Callithrix jacchus: one gene and its partners. The protein of the gene in region 2 purifies or fractionates together with the protein of the main gene of each other region. This does not show direct contact. Links are inferred from orthologs where the notes say so. Each region holds a gene or a part of one and is shown on either strand. Other genes may lie near its edges.

What was found.
Region 1: the proteins of TFAP4 (region 2) and FBXW11 purify together in Homo sapiens (affinity purification with mass spectrometry; 7 studies listed by BioGRID and IntAct, counting the BioPlex papers as one, with this or other methods). This does not show direct contact. The link is inferred for Callithrix jacchus from reciprocal best matches to the Homo sapiens genes TFAP4 and FBXW11.
Region 3: the proteins of TFAP4 (region 2) and BTRC purify together in Homo sapiens (affinity purification with mass spectrometry; 4 studies listed by BioGRID and IntAct, counting the BioPlex papers as one, with this or other methods). This does not show direct contact. The link is inferred for Callithrix jacchus from reciprocal best matches to the Homo sapiens genes TFAP4 and BTRC.

What each region holds. Positions count from the first base shown.
Region 1 is NC_133503.1:64,156,291-64,159,942, forward strand, and holds part of FBXW11 (F-box/WD repeat-containing protein 11), read right to left. Parts: intron 1,568-3,652; coding exon 1,449-1,567; intron 1-1,448.
Region 2 is NC_133513.1:6,366,487-6,370,138, forward strand, and holds part of TFAP4 (transcription factor AP-4), read right to left. Parts: 5' UTR 3,246-3,652; coding exon 3,139-3,245; intron 2,128-3,138; coding exon 1,962-2,127; intron 1,849-1,961; coding exon 1,750-1,848; intron 1,369-1,749; coding exon 1,198-1,368; intron 1-1,197.
Region 3 is NC_133513.1:94,486,744-94,490,395, reverse strand, and holds part of BTRC (F-box/WD repeat-containing protein 1A), read right to left. Parts: intron 2,467-3,652; coding exon 2,217-2,466; intron 1,738-2,216; coding exon 1,619-1,737; intron 249-1,618; coding exon 138-248; intron 1-137. UniProt on the Homo sapiens protein: Substrate recognition component of a SCF (SKP1-CUL1-F-box protein) E3 ubiquitin-protein ligase complex which mediates the ubiquitination and subsequent proteasomal degradation of target proteins. Recognizes and binds to phosphorylated target proteins.

The DNA of each region.
Region 1 (3,652 bases), on a different chromosome or scaffold from region 2:
TGAGATGACAGGAAGAAGGAATCTTGACAGCTGAAGAAGTGAGAATAGTTCCAAGCTTCCAGTTCTTGTTGACCTCTGACAGGCCTCTGAGTCTATTATTTATCCACTGCAAATTGGGTAAGTCATGATGCCTCATCAATCATCACATCCACTTCTTTATCCGGCTGCTTTATGGACAAAGCCAGGATCTAGCAACTGCTTTGTACATCCAGGGATTTGGGGGCAGCACCTCCACATCATGGCTTTTTTGTAACCCTCATTTCCTTAGAGGACAAGTTCACACAGGGCAGAGGAGAAAAGACTCAGGCCTCTGAGGCTCAGACACAATCTCTGGCAGAAGCAGTGGTACAGAAGCAATGAGTCCAGAGGAGGATACTAGGCGTGCTTTAAACGGGTGGTGAGAGTGTCCAGGAGTGAAGTGAGAGGCTAATAACAACAACTAACATAAAGAGGAGTGAAAAGGGGAGAACGTGGGTATCCAAAGACAGACTCAGTGACCATTCCAATCGCTTAGGCTCGTGTACCTGTAAAACAATCCTCTTCAAATATCTGACCCAACCCAGAAGAGCTGTTTCCTTCTCTTTCACATTTCCTCCAGATACCAGTAGTCTTGCTGAGGCTTTCCTGTGTGACCTACAGCTCTGATGGCCTCATCACTACACCCAACTCCCAAGCCCATCTGGTGTGAAAAAAATGCGTTTATCCCAGAGGTATAGGAATGGATATCAATAATGTTCCCTTTCTACTCGCTCACCTCTTACCCAAACGTCATTGCTTTCCTTGTACTGCAGAACATTGCCACTTTCATCTTCATCATTCTGCCACTCAGTGACAAATGAAAATCAGTGCTTCCACTACTGGCAAGGCTACATATACAGTCATGACTTGAATCAATTCAAGGTTCAAAATTTATTAATTCTGTGACTCTGAGCAAATTATTTAATCTCTCTGGTCTTGGTTTCCTAATACAACTCCAAAAATGGAGGTAACATCTGCCTCTTCAGAAAGGTTGATGTGAGAACTGATAAAATGATACAGAGTACCGAGTATACTATCCGCTCTCACATTTTACTTTCCTGGTGTTGCTGAAAAGATTCTGCAAACTGCTTTTGAGTCTTTCAGTATTTGTAGGTGGTGCCCACCACACTCCTAGAATAGCTGCCTTCCTCCTCTCTGCTCTGGACCACAGTTTCCCAAAAGGAAAAAGCCAGACTAATACTTGGTATGTGCTCGTACAGGAAAGCATGTTATCATCTCTAAAATGAACAGCAACACTCTTAAATTAGCTGTTTTGCCTAATTTGCTCAAACATATCTACAACAAAAGTAGTTTGAAACACAGCCTGTAAAAATGTATGCAAAGTTTATGTATGCCTCTCCCAGAGGAGGATGTCAATCACAGACTTTCTCAGGGAAGGCTTACAAGATCAACAAAGCCAGATCACTCACCTCACTGTAGAATCTGAAGAGCCAGTTACAATGACACGCTCATCATATTGCAGGCAGAGGACAGAGCCTGTGTGTCCTGTTAACACTTTCAAACATTCCAGGCTGGTTTTATCCCAAATCTATTGAGACAAGATTAGCCACAAACAACGATTTATTATTATACTATATTTTGATGAATATTACTGTCCCACCTTATGTTCTGATTATAAAATGAAATACTTGGGTTATAGTAAATAAGAAACATTGAATATCAAACAGGTAAGAAACAAGTAGGAATACAGACAATAGTGGTTAACTACTAGGATAGATGTGCTATTTTGTTTAATTTGAACCCTTAGCTATTAATCTCATTACACTTACCAATGGCCTCATAAAGGGAACTTTTAAAAAATAAAATCTGTGAAAAGAAGTCACTCACTGGCTGGGTGCTATGGCTCATGCCTGTAATCCCAACACTTTGGGAGGCAGAGACAGAAGTATCACTTGAGCCCAGAAGTTCAATACCAGCCTGGGAAACCCATCTCCACAAATTTTATATATGTTTTTTTTTTTTTTTTTAATTAGCCAGGCATGGTGGTGTCTGCCTGTAGTCCCAGCAACTCGGGAGGCTAAGGTGACAGGATTGCTTGAGCCCAGGAGGCAAGGCTGCAGTGAGTCACAATCACACCACTGTACTCCAGCCGGGGTGACAAGGCAGGACCCTGCTTTTCCATTTTATTTTATGTCTCGTAAAAATAAAGAAGTGGCTCAATCTCTGGAAAGCAACATGACAACATAACTATTAAGACCTTTTAAAAATGCATACCCCTATGTTTACAAAAATAAAATGTCCAACATTTCATAAAAGTCTCAAAGTAAACTATGAAGAGTTTTTAATGAGAAAATATCATGCTTCATTACAAAGTTAAGCATTTTTAAAAATCAGAATAAAAATTATAAAGTGACACAATGACTATGTATATACTGCAGAAAAGGAAAAAAGGATTAAAGGAAGGAAATTGTTATTAATAGTTGTTTTCATACTCCTGAGTGTTCCTTTTCTCGCTTCTTTTACGGCTTCCACAGATTTGTCTTTTCTAGAATGTCACAGAGTTGGAATCATACAGTATGTAGCCTTTTTAGATTGGCTTCTTTCACATAGTAATACACATTTAAACTTCCTCCCTGTCTTTTCATGGCTTGATATACGTTCCTTTTTAGTGCTGAAAATTATCCCTGTTGTCTAGATGTACTACAGTTTATTTATCCATATACCTACTGAAGGACACCTTGGTTGCTTCCAAGTTTGGGCAATTATGGGCAAAGCTGCCATAAACATCTGGGTCCAGGCTTTTGTGTAGACATAAGTTTTTGATTCCGTTGTGTAAATATTAAGTCGCACAACTGCTGGATCATATGGTAAAAGTATGTTTAGTTTTGTAAGAACTGCCAAACTGCCTTACAACGTGGCTGTACCATTTTGTATTTCCACCAGCAGTGAATTCAAGCTCCTGTTCCTGTTGCTCCACATGCTCGCCAGCATTGGGTGTTGTCAGTGTTCTGGATTTTGTCCATGCTAACAGGTGTGCAGTGGTGTCTCATTGTTATAATCCACATTTCCCTGATGACTTACGTGGAACATCTTGTCACATGCTTATATGCCATCTGTGTATCTTCTTTGGTGACATGTCTGTTAAGGTCTATGCCTTATTTTTTTTTTTTAATAGGTTAATTAATTTTCTAACTGTTGAGATTCAAGAGCTCTTTCTATGTCTTTTGCATATATTTTCTCTCGTCTGTGGCTTGTTTTTTCATTCTCTGGACAATGTCTCTCACAGAACAGAAATTTTTTATTTTAATGAAGTCCAGCTTATTCTTTCTTTAATGAAGCATGCCTTTGACATTGTATCTAAAAAGTCACCAACAAACTCAAGATCATGTGGGTTTTCTACTATATTGTATTCTACAAATTTTATGGTTTTCTGTTTTACATCTAGGCCTTTAATCCATTTTGATTTAATTTTTGTGAAGTATATAGGATCTGTGTCTGTATTATTTGGGAGTAAAGGAGGCAATATGGTGTCTAGTTGCTTCTGCCCAATTGCTGAAGAGACTATCTTTTCTCCATTGTATTACCTTTGTAAAAGATCAGGTGACTATATTTGTGAAGGTATGTATTTCTGGGCTCTCTATTCTTTTCCATGGATCTAGCTGTCCATTCTGTT
Region 2 (3,652 bases):
GGAGCATGCTTCCTCCTGTCTGAGCCCTTGCCTATGCTGTTCCCTCTGTCGAGAACACCCTTCTCTGCCCTTTGGTTAATTATGAGACTCAACCTCCCACTTCCATGGAGAAGCCATGGGGCATCACTTGGAAAACCAGGTCAAACCCACTCCGGATGCCACAGCTCCAGCCTGGCCTTCATCATGATTAAGTGCTTTGTTTTTGGTTTTTGTTTTGAGACAGGGTCTCCCTCTGTCACCCAAGCTGGAGTGCAGTGGCACAATCACAGCTGACTGCAGCCTCCACCTCCTGGGCTCAAGCCATCCTCCCAGCTCAGCCTCCCAAGTAGCTGGGACCACAGATGTGCACCACCACACCTAGCTTTTTTTTTTTTTTTTTTTTTTTGAGACCGAGTTTCGCTCTTGTTACCCAGGCTGGAGTGCAATGGCGCGAGCTCGGCTCTCCGCAACCTCCGCCTCCTGGGTTCAGGCAATTCTCCTGCCTCAGCCTCCTGAGTAGCTGGGATTACAGGCACGCGCCACCTGTAATACAGCTAACTTTCTGTATTTTTAGTAGAGACAGGGTTTCACCATGTTGACCAGGATGGTCTCGATCTCTTGACCTCGTGATCCACCCGCCTCGGCCTCCCAAAGTGCTGGGATTACAGGCGTGAGCCACCGCGCCCGGCCACACCTAGCTTTTTAAGACAGGGTGTCACTGTCACCCAGGCTGGAGTGCCATTGTGCGATCACCGCTCACTGCAGTCTCCACCTTCTGGGCCCAAGCAATCCTCCCAGCTCAACCTCCTGAGTAGCTGGGACCACAGGCACACCCCACCACACCTGCCTAATTTTCACATATTTTTTGGTGGAGATAGGATCTCACTACGCTTCCCAGGCTGGTCTCAAAACACCTGGGCTCAAGTGATCCTCCCACCTCAGCCTCACAAAGTGCTGGGATTACAGGTGTGAGCCACCATACCCAGCCCATAGGGTTACATTTTTTAGGTCATTTGACTAATCTCCCCCACCGCGATGCAAACGGTTACCCCCAAGGGCAGGGACGTGTCTGGCTTGCTCCCCACTCCTAAGCCTGGCACCGCAGCAGGTGCGCCTGTAAATAGGGCTCAACCAAGGGTAGCAGAGCCTTACAGGGGGGACCCCAGGCTCCACGCCCGCTGCACCACGCGCCGCGCCCAGCAGAGGGCGCTGCCTCACCTGCTCCTCCAGCATCATGCGCACCGAGCGCTCCTTGTCCAGCTGCTGCCGAAGCTCAATCATCTCCCGCCGCAGGTCCTCCGCCTTCTCGTCCTCCCAGATGTCCGGAGAGCCGATGCCTTCGTCCTTGTCCTCTGCCCGCCGTCGCTTGGGGGACGAGCCGCTCAGCTCCTGGGGACCCCAAGGAGTCGGTCAGTGTGCCTGACACCTCGGTACCACCACCACGGAGATTGGGGCTCCATCACAGCCCCTCAAAGCTGCCCAACACAGGTGGATCTTCATTAGGGAGCCCCTTCTGCAAGTCCAACAAACCAGCCAAATGCCAGGAGAAGGGCTGCTGTTCAGGAGCAGTCACCTGGCTCATTGCAGAGCCCACTCCACCACACTAGACTGATGGGGAAACTGAGGCTGGGGCAGGAAAACAAGTGCCTGAAGTACTTGCCAGTGGGCAAGAAGGGGCCTGCAGCCATACCTGCATCCCAGGCCCAGGGTTGGGTCCTGGGATGCCCATGCCAGGAGAGGGAGCCAGGAAGGGGGGCAGGGAGGGAGCACCTGGATGAAGCGCTTGAGCTGTGTGTTCTGCTGCAAGAGCCTGGTCTTCTCCTGCTCCAGGGAGAAGATGTACTCGGCTGTCTGCTGGAGAATGGCTGCCTGAAGGCAGGGAAAAGCCAAGCGTCAAGCTGGTAGTGTTTACCAGAGCTCACTTTCCTCTCCCAGAGGGAGTCTGCCGCCTCCTCCGGGAAGCCCTCCCTGCTCTCACCCACCTTGCTAAGCTTCTCTCCGTCTGTGTGGGGGATGAGGGTCTTGAGAGACTGGAAGCCGGCGTTTATGCTCTGCATGCGCCTCCGCTCGTTGCTGTTGGCGATCTCCCGTCGAATCCGCCGCTCCTGGTCCCGCTGGGTCTCTGGGGTCAGTGGAATGTTGGCAAGGCTGCCAGAGAGGACAGGAACAGGCTTGGCCAAAGCGCCCTCTTCATCATTCATCTCCAGAGGGTCCCAGTAGAACCTGCATCCCGCCCCTGCTGCAAAAGATGCCAGGCCACCCCCAGAGGGTGATGGAGGGGCGCTCCTGGGACACCCAGGTGGACTGAATAGGCTGGCTGAGGGTAAGATAGTCTGCTCAGAACCCAGCGAGGGCCAGGCACAGTGGCTCACACTTGTAATCCCAGTTCTTTGGGAGATCAAGGCCAAGGATCATTGAACCCAAGAGTTTGAGATCAGTCTAGGCAACATACTGAGACCCTGTCTCTACAAAAAACAAAAATAGCTAGGTGTGGTGGTGCACGCCTGTAGTTCCAGCTACTCCTTCCAGGAGGCTGAAGTGGGAGGGCTGCTCGAGCCCACAGGTGGAGGCTGCAGGGAGCTATGATCGAGCCAGTGCATTTCTGGGCAACAGAGTAAGACCTTGTCTCAACAACAAAAACCCATCCCCTCCTTGGCTTCCCTCACGGGGGGCAGTTTCTCCTCCCCAACAGAATTCCCAGTGTGAGCGTCAAAACACCCAGGAGCTAAGAAACTGTGCAGACGACGGGTGCTGGCCCCAGTGTCTGACTAGCAGGCCTGGTGGGGCCCAGAAACCTGCATGGTGTGATTCTGATGCACGTGGGACGCCGACAGTCAGGGACGACGACGCTGTCCCGCTCTGCTGGGCGCCTGGAGCGCCTCTTCAGTGTCTCAGGCTTTGAATCCCAGGACTAAGGGAGACGTCCCCACTCCCTTCCTACCCTCACGGCCACGCCTCCAGCCACAAGCCCCAGCCCCACTAGGCTGAGACTTCACACACCTCACTCAGGACAAGACAGATACCACTCACTCCCCAAAAAGACACGCAGCCAACAACCCCTACAGACAGTGCTCCCCGCAGCCCACCCACTCCAAGAGACAGACCCACCCCTTGCCGGAGAAGCGAGGCTCCCAGCATGCTGTGGGGAGCGCTACTAACCCTTGCAGGAGCAGCGGCCGGTGGAGTGAGAAGGCAGCCCTGGGGAAGAGGGCGGGGCTTCCTGCGGGGGCGGGGCGTGCGCGCCAGAGGGCGGGGCTGCGGGCCATGGGGCAGAGGCAGCGGTTGTGGGCCCAAGGCCACGCTCCCGAGGGTTGGGCCTGTGTGTGGCCTGGAGGAGGCCTGTCTCCCTCCCTGGACCTCCCCTGCAACTTCCCCCGCCCCTGCCCTGATGGCTTCCAGATGCTGGGCTCCCAGCAGAGGCCGCCGGCCCCACCCGAAGCCGCAGCCCCGGCCTCTTCCTGAGGGGCCCTCCCGGGGTGCCGGGTTCCAGGACTGGGCCAAGGGGCTCACGCCCTTGAATCTGGGAGAACAGGGAAATGGCTCTGAGCAGCTCTTGCTCCATTGGCGGGGACAGTCTGGGGTCAAGGGGCTGCCAAGTCTTAACTCCCCTGCTGTGGCCCCTACGCCAATGGGCAGGCGGAAAAGAGTTTGCACGGACCAAGGAGAAAGCACA
Region 3 (3,652 bases), about 88 Mb from region 2:
AAAATATGCTATTAGATACTTTGTGTAAAATCTATAAGCTTTTAGAAACAAGGAATGGTTATGTTTAACACCATAAACATAAGGAAGGATTAAGAGGTAGATTTTCTTTTTTTTTTAACACTGTTTTTTATACTCACCCATCATAGGCCCCACTGACTATCCTCTTGTTATCAAATCGAATACAACGCACTAATTCCTCATGGCCTTCTAACACTCGTAAACATGCACCACATTCTATGTCCCATAATCTGGAAGAGAAAAGTGAGTCAAGTGATTTTTCACATATTCTAAGTCTGGAGTGTTATAATAATACACTTCATATGCCTTCTAAAAACTCACAAAATAAAATCAATCACCACCCACATAGAAAGTACCATTTTCAATGTAATTTATTTCCTTTCTGCTATATAACTCATGCAGAAAAATGTAGGTTTAAGTTCAAATGTAGTATGTATTTTCAAAGTATAATGCTTTATATAATTCTGTAACCAGGTTCTTCCAGGCATAAAAATGATGAATTCAAGGCACACAGTTGCCTGAGAAGAAAATGACCAAACTAAGAAAGTAGTTTCCTGAAGTCACCATACAGATTATCAGTGATGTCCTGTTCTCACAAAGCACCTCTCCCTCTGCCACAGTGGACACTTCTTTCACCACTGTCCAGGACAGTTTTTCTCAGAGAATGGAAATGCAAAGCCAGTTCTCAAAAACTTTTGTGTACTAATTTTAAAAACTGTATATTCTGAAATTATTTTTCAGAACTTTTTAAAGTGATTTCTAGGAATAATTTCCTTAGATATAACAGTAGCTCTATCTGTTTTTTTTTTTTAGTGGCCTTTTCATCCTTTTAGTACTTCACTGAAGAGAGAGGATGGATAGATCTTTCAAATTCTATTAATATCCACGTCATTCATCTTTGTGAAGAGAAAATTAAAAAATGACTTCCAACTGTGAAATCTTCATAATTTCAAGGACAGGTAACTCTATGGCCAATTATGTAATGCTAAGACCAAAATTACATAATTTCTAGTAAGAAAACATATCTTTCTTTTCACTTCTTAAGTGGCAAACAATGACAAAGAGAAAACTTAATAGCATTTTGCAACTGTAGACAGGAGAAATTTAAAAAGAAGGGCAACGACAGGGCATGATGGTTCACACCAGCACTTCAGGAGGCTGAGGCCAGTAGATCACGAGGTCAGGAGTTCGAGACCAGCCTAACCAACATGGTGAAATCCCATCTCTACTAAAAATACAAAAATTAGCCGGGCGTGGTGGCACATGCCTGTAATCCCAGCTACTCAGGAGGCTGAAACAGTAAAATCACTTGAACCTGGGAGGCCAAGGTTGCAATGTGCCAAGTACACATTGCACCAAGTCACACCACTGTACTCCAGCCTGAGCAACAGTGCAAGACTCCAATTTCAAAAAAAAAAAAAAAAGATGGGCAACAAAAGGCTTTGTTGCTGCCTCTCTGCTTCTGACCTGTAAGAAGCTACAAAAAGGAAAAACAGTTGATTATAAACATAACAAAACTGAAGACTTGATTGATCTGTGCACTAATAATGAATGGGAGCATAATATTGATCATTTACGATAAAAGGCACTTGCTGCTCACCTAATAGTATTGTCAGATGAGCCACTCACTACCAGCCTGTCCCTGTATTGCAAACAGGCAATGCCTCGTTTGTGTCCATTTAAGGTCCTCACAAATTCACAAGTACTTGTGTTCCATACCTGAAAAAGAAAACGGCATTGAGCAATTGATTTGGTGCTTTTACTGGTAAAATCTATGGCAACTGGAGTCTTAGGGAAGCAGGAAATGAGACTGAACCATTAAAGGGAAGTCAAATTCTCAAACAGAGCAAAAGACAATTTAAATTCATGGTAATAGAGGCTAATTTGCTGTTGGCTGTTATCAAGAAAATTCCTCAAACTGATTTTCTCTTCTAGGGTTAGTCTGATCTTGCAGATACATTTTTCTTGACCCTACATTTGCCCCTGCCCTTCTCACACTCACCATTATTTATAAGAATAAAATACCTAGCTCATATTGTCACACATCTCATTTATTACCTTTTCACTTGTAGACTAGTCTCTGAAATAAATACTACATATTTCTTCAGTGATGTTTAAATATGACATTGCCCTTGATCACATTTTCATATGAATTCCCCTATTCTAAGTTGGAGACTTACTGAAAGATACCTGATTACCTTTATAGTTCTATCCCCAGATGCAGAAACGATGTACTTGTCATCAAAGTCTACAACATTGACAGCAGCTCGGTGTCCAACCAGCACCCTCCGGAGGGTAATGTCAGTTGGGGAGGCCATATCCCATACAGCAATGGAACGATCTTTGGAGCACGTCACCATCATGCCATTATTGAAACGCAAGTGCAGAACTGCTTCACAATGGTGAATCAATGTGTTTAGCATTTCACCTGTATTTACATCCCACACTCTGGAAGTGACACATGAGACTTAGAAGGTACTCAAGCTACAATCTGTTATCTATATTTGACCATCATATGCCCTGCCACTCCTCATATTTTCATGGTAAGTGTTATAATTCTACTCTTTAATTCCTTTGCAGCACTAAGCTGCGGTAAATACTGATGGATTGTGGGAAAGTGGTAGAGAGAAGCCCAGACTGGGAGAGTGGGAGAAGGAAGGGGATGGGATGTTGCCAGTGTGTCCTTTAGACACACTGCTTGAAATATGGGCAAGTTGTGGAGGGCAAGGATGAGGTGGCAGCCACTGTCACCTAATAATTTGGCCCAGACTTGAAGATTATTATAAAACTTCTGACATTCAATTTGATACCATTAATAAGATACATTTTAAATGGGGAATCTGATTAATAACAGTAGCATTAGTGCCCATCCCAATAAAACCCTCAGGAGCCAGAAATGACATAGGTCAAGATGCTTCTGTCACATACTTAGCAATGCAAATTTGAGTTTGATTTCCCTGGATCTCAGGTCTTATCATAGAGGTCAAAGGCCAAGATAACCACAACTCTTAATTATAAGCCCCCCATTTCTGTGCTTTGAAGTGGGTACAGGTTTAAAATAGCCCTCTCATTGTAAATACAGGCTTCACAGAAGAGTGTGGGGCCACTGGATAGCTTGGGAATTTTGTGTGATGACATATTTGATTATTCTATTTTTGTGTATTTACTTTGGGTTTTATAACATGTTATTTCCTTTTTCCAGTTTAGCCCCCTTTTATGGAATATCATTTTTTCTTTATCTTATAAATGATGTTAGCATCTACAGTATTTCAGATTCAGTGAGGCACTTGCTCCACAAGCACCAATAAATGTTAAATGTCAATAATTACACGGACCGAGTTTGCTATGCCTTTAAGTCAAAAGACAAAAACCACAAACAGTCTTTTCTATTCACAGAGGATAACTTGGAATGGTAAACATTTAACTTCAGAGTATCGAACAATGCAGTTAACTGCTTTTTTTCCTAGGTTTATTTTTTTTTAAAGTTACTTTTGATGCATTATGTTTGCTAAATACTTCAGCTTAAGGCAAAATTCCTAACAGAAGTTCCCAGCAGTGCTGCTGGTACCCAGAACTCAAGCTATCCTGGACTCCAGCAGTATAATGGCTGTGTCATCAAATCACTAACGCCTCT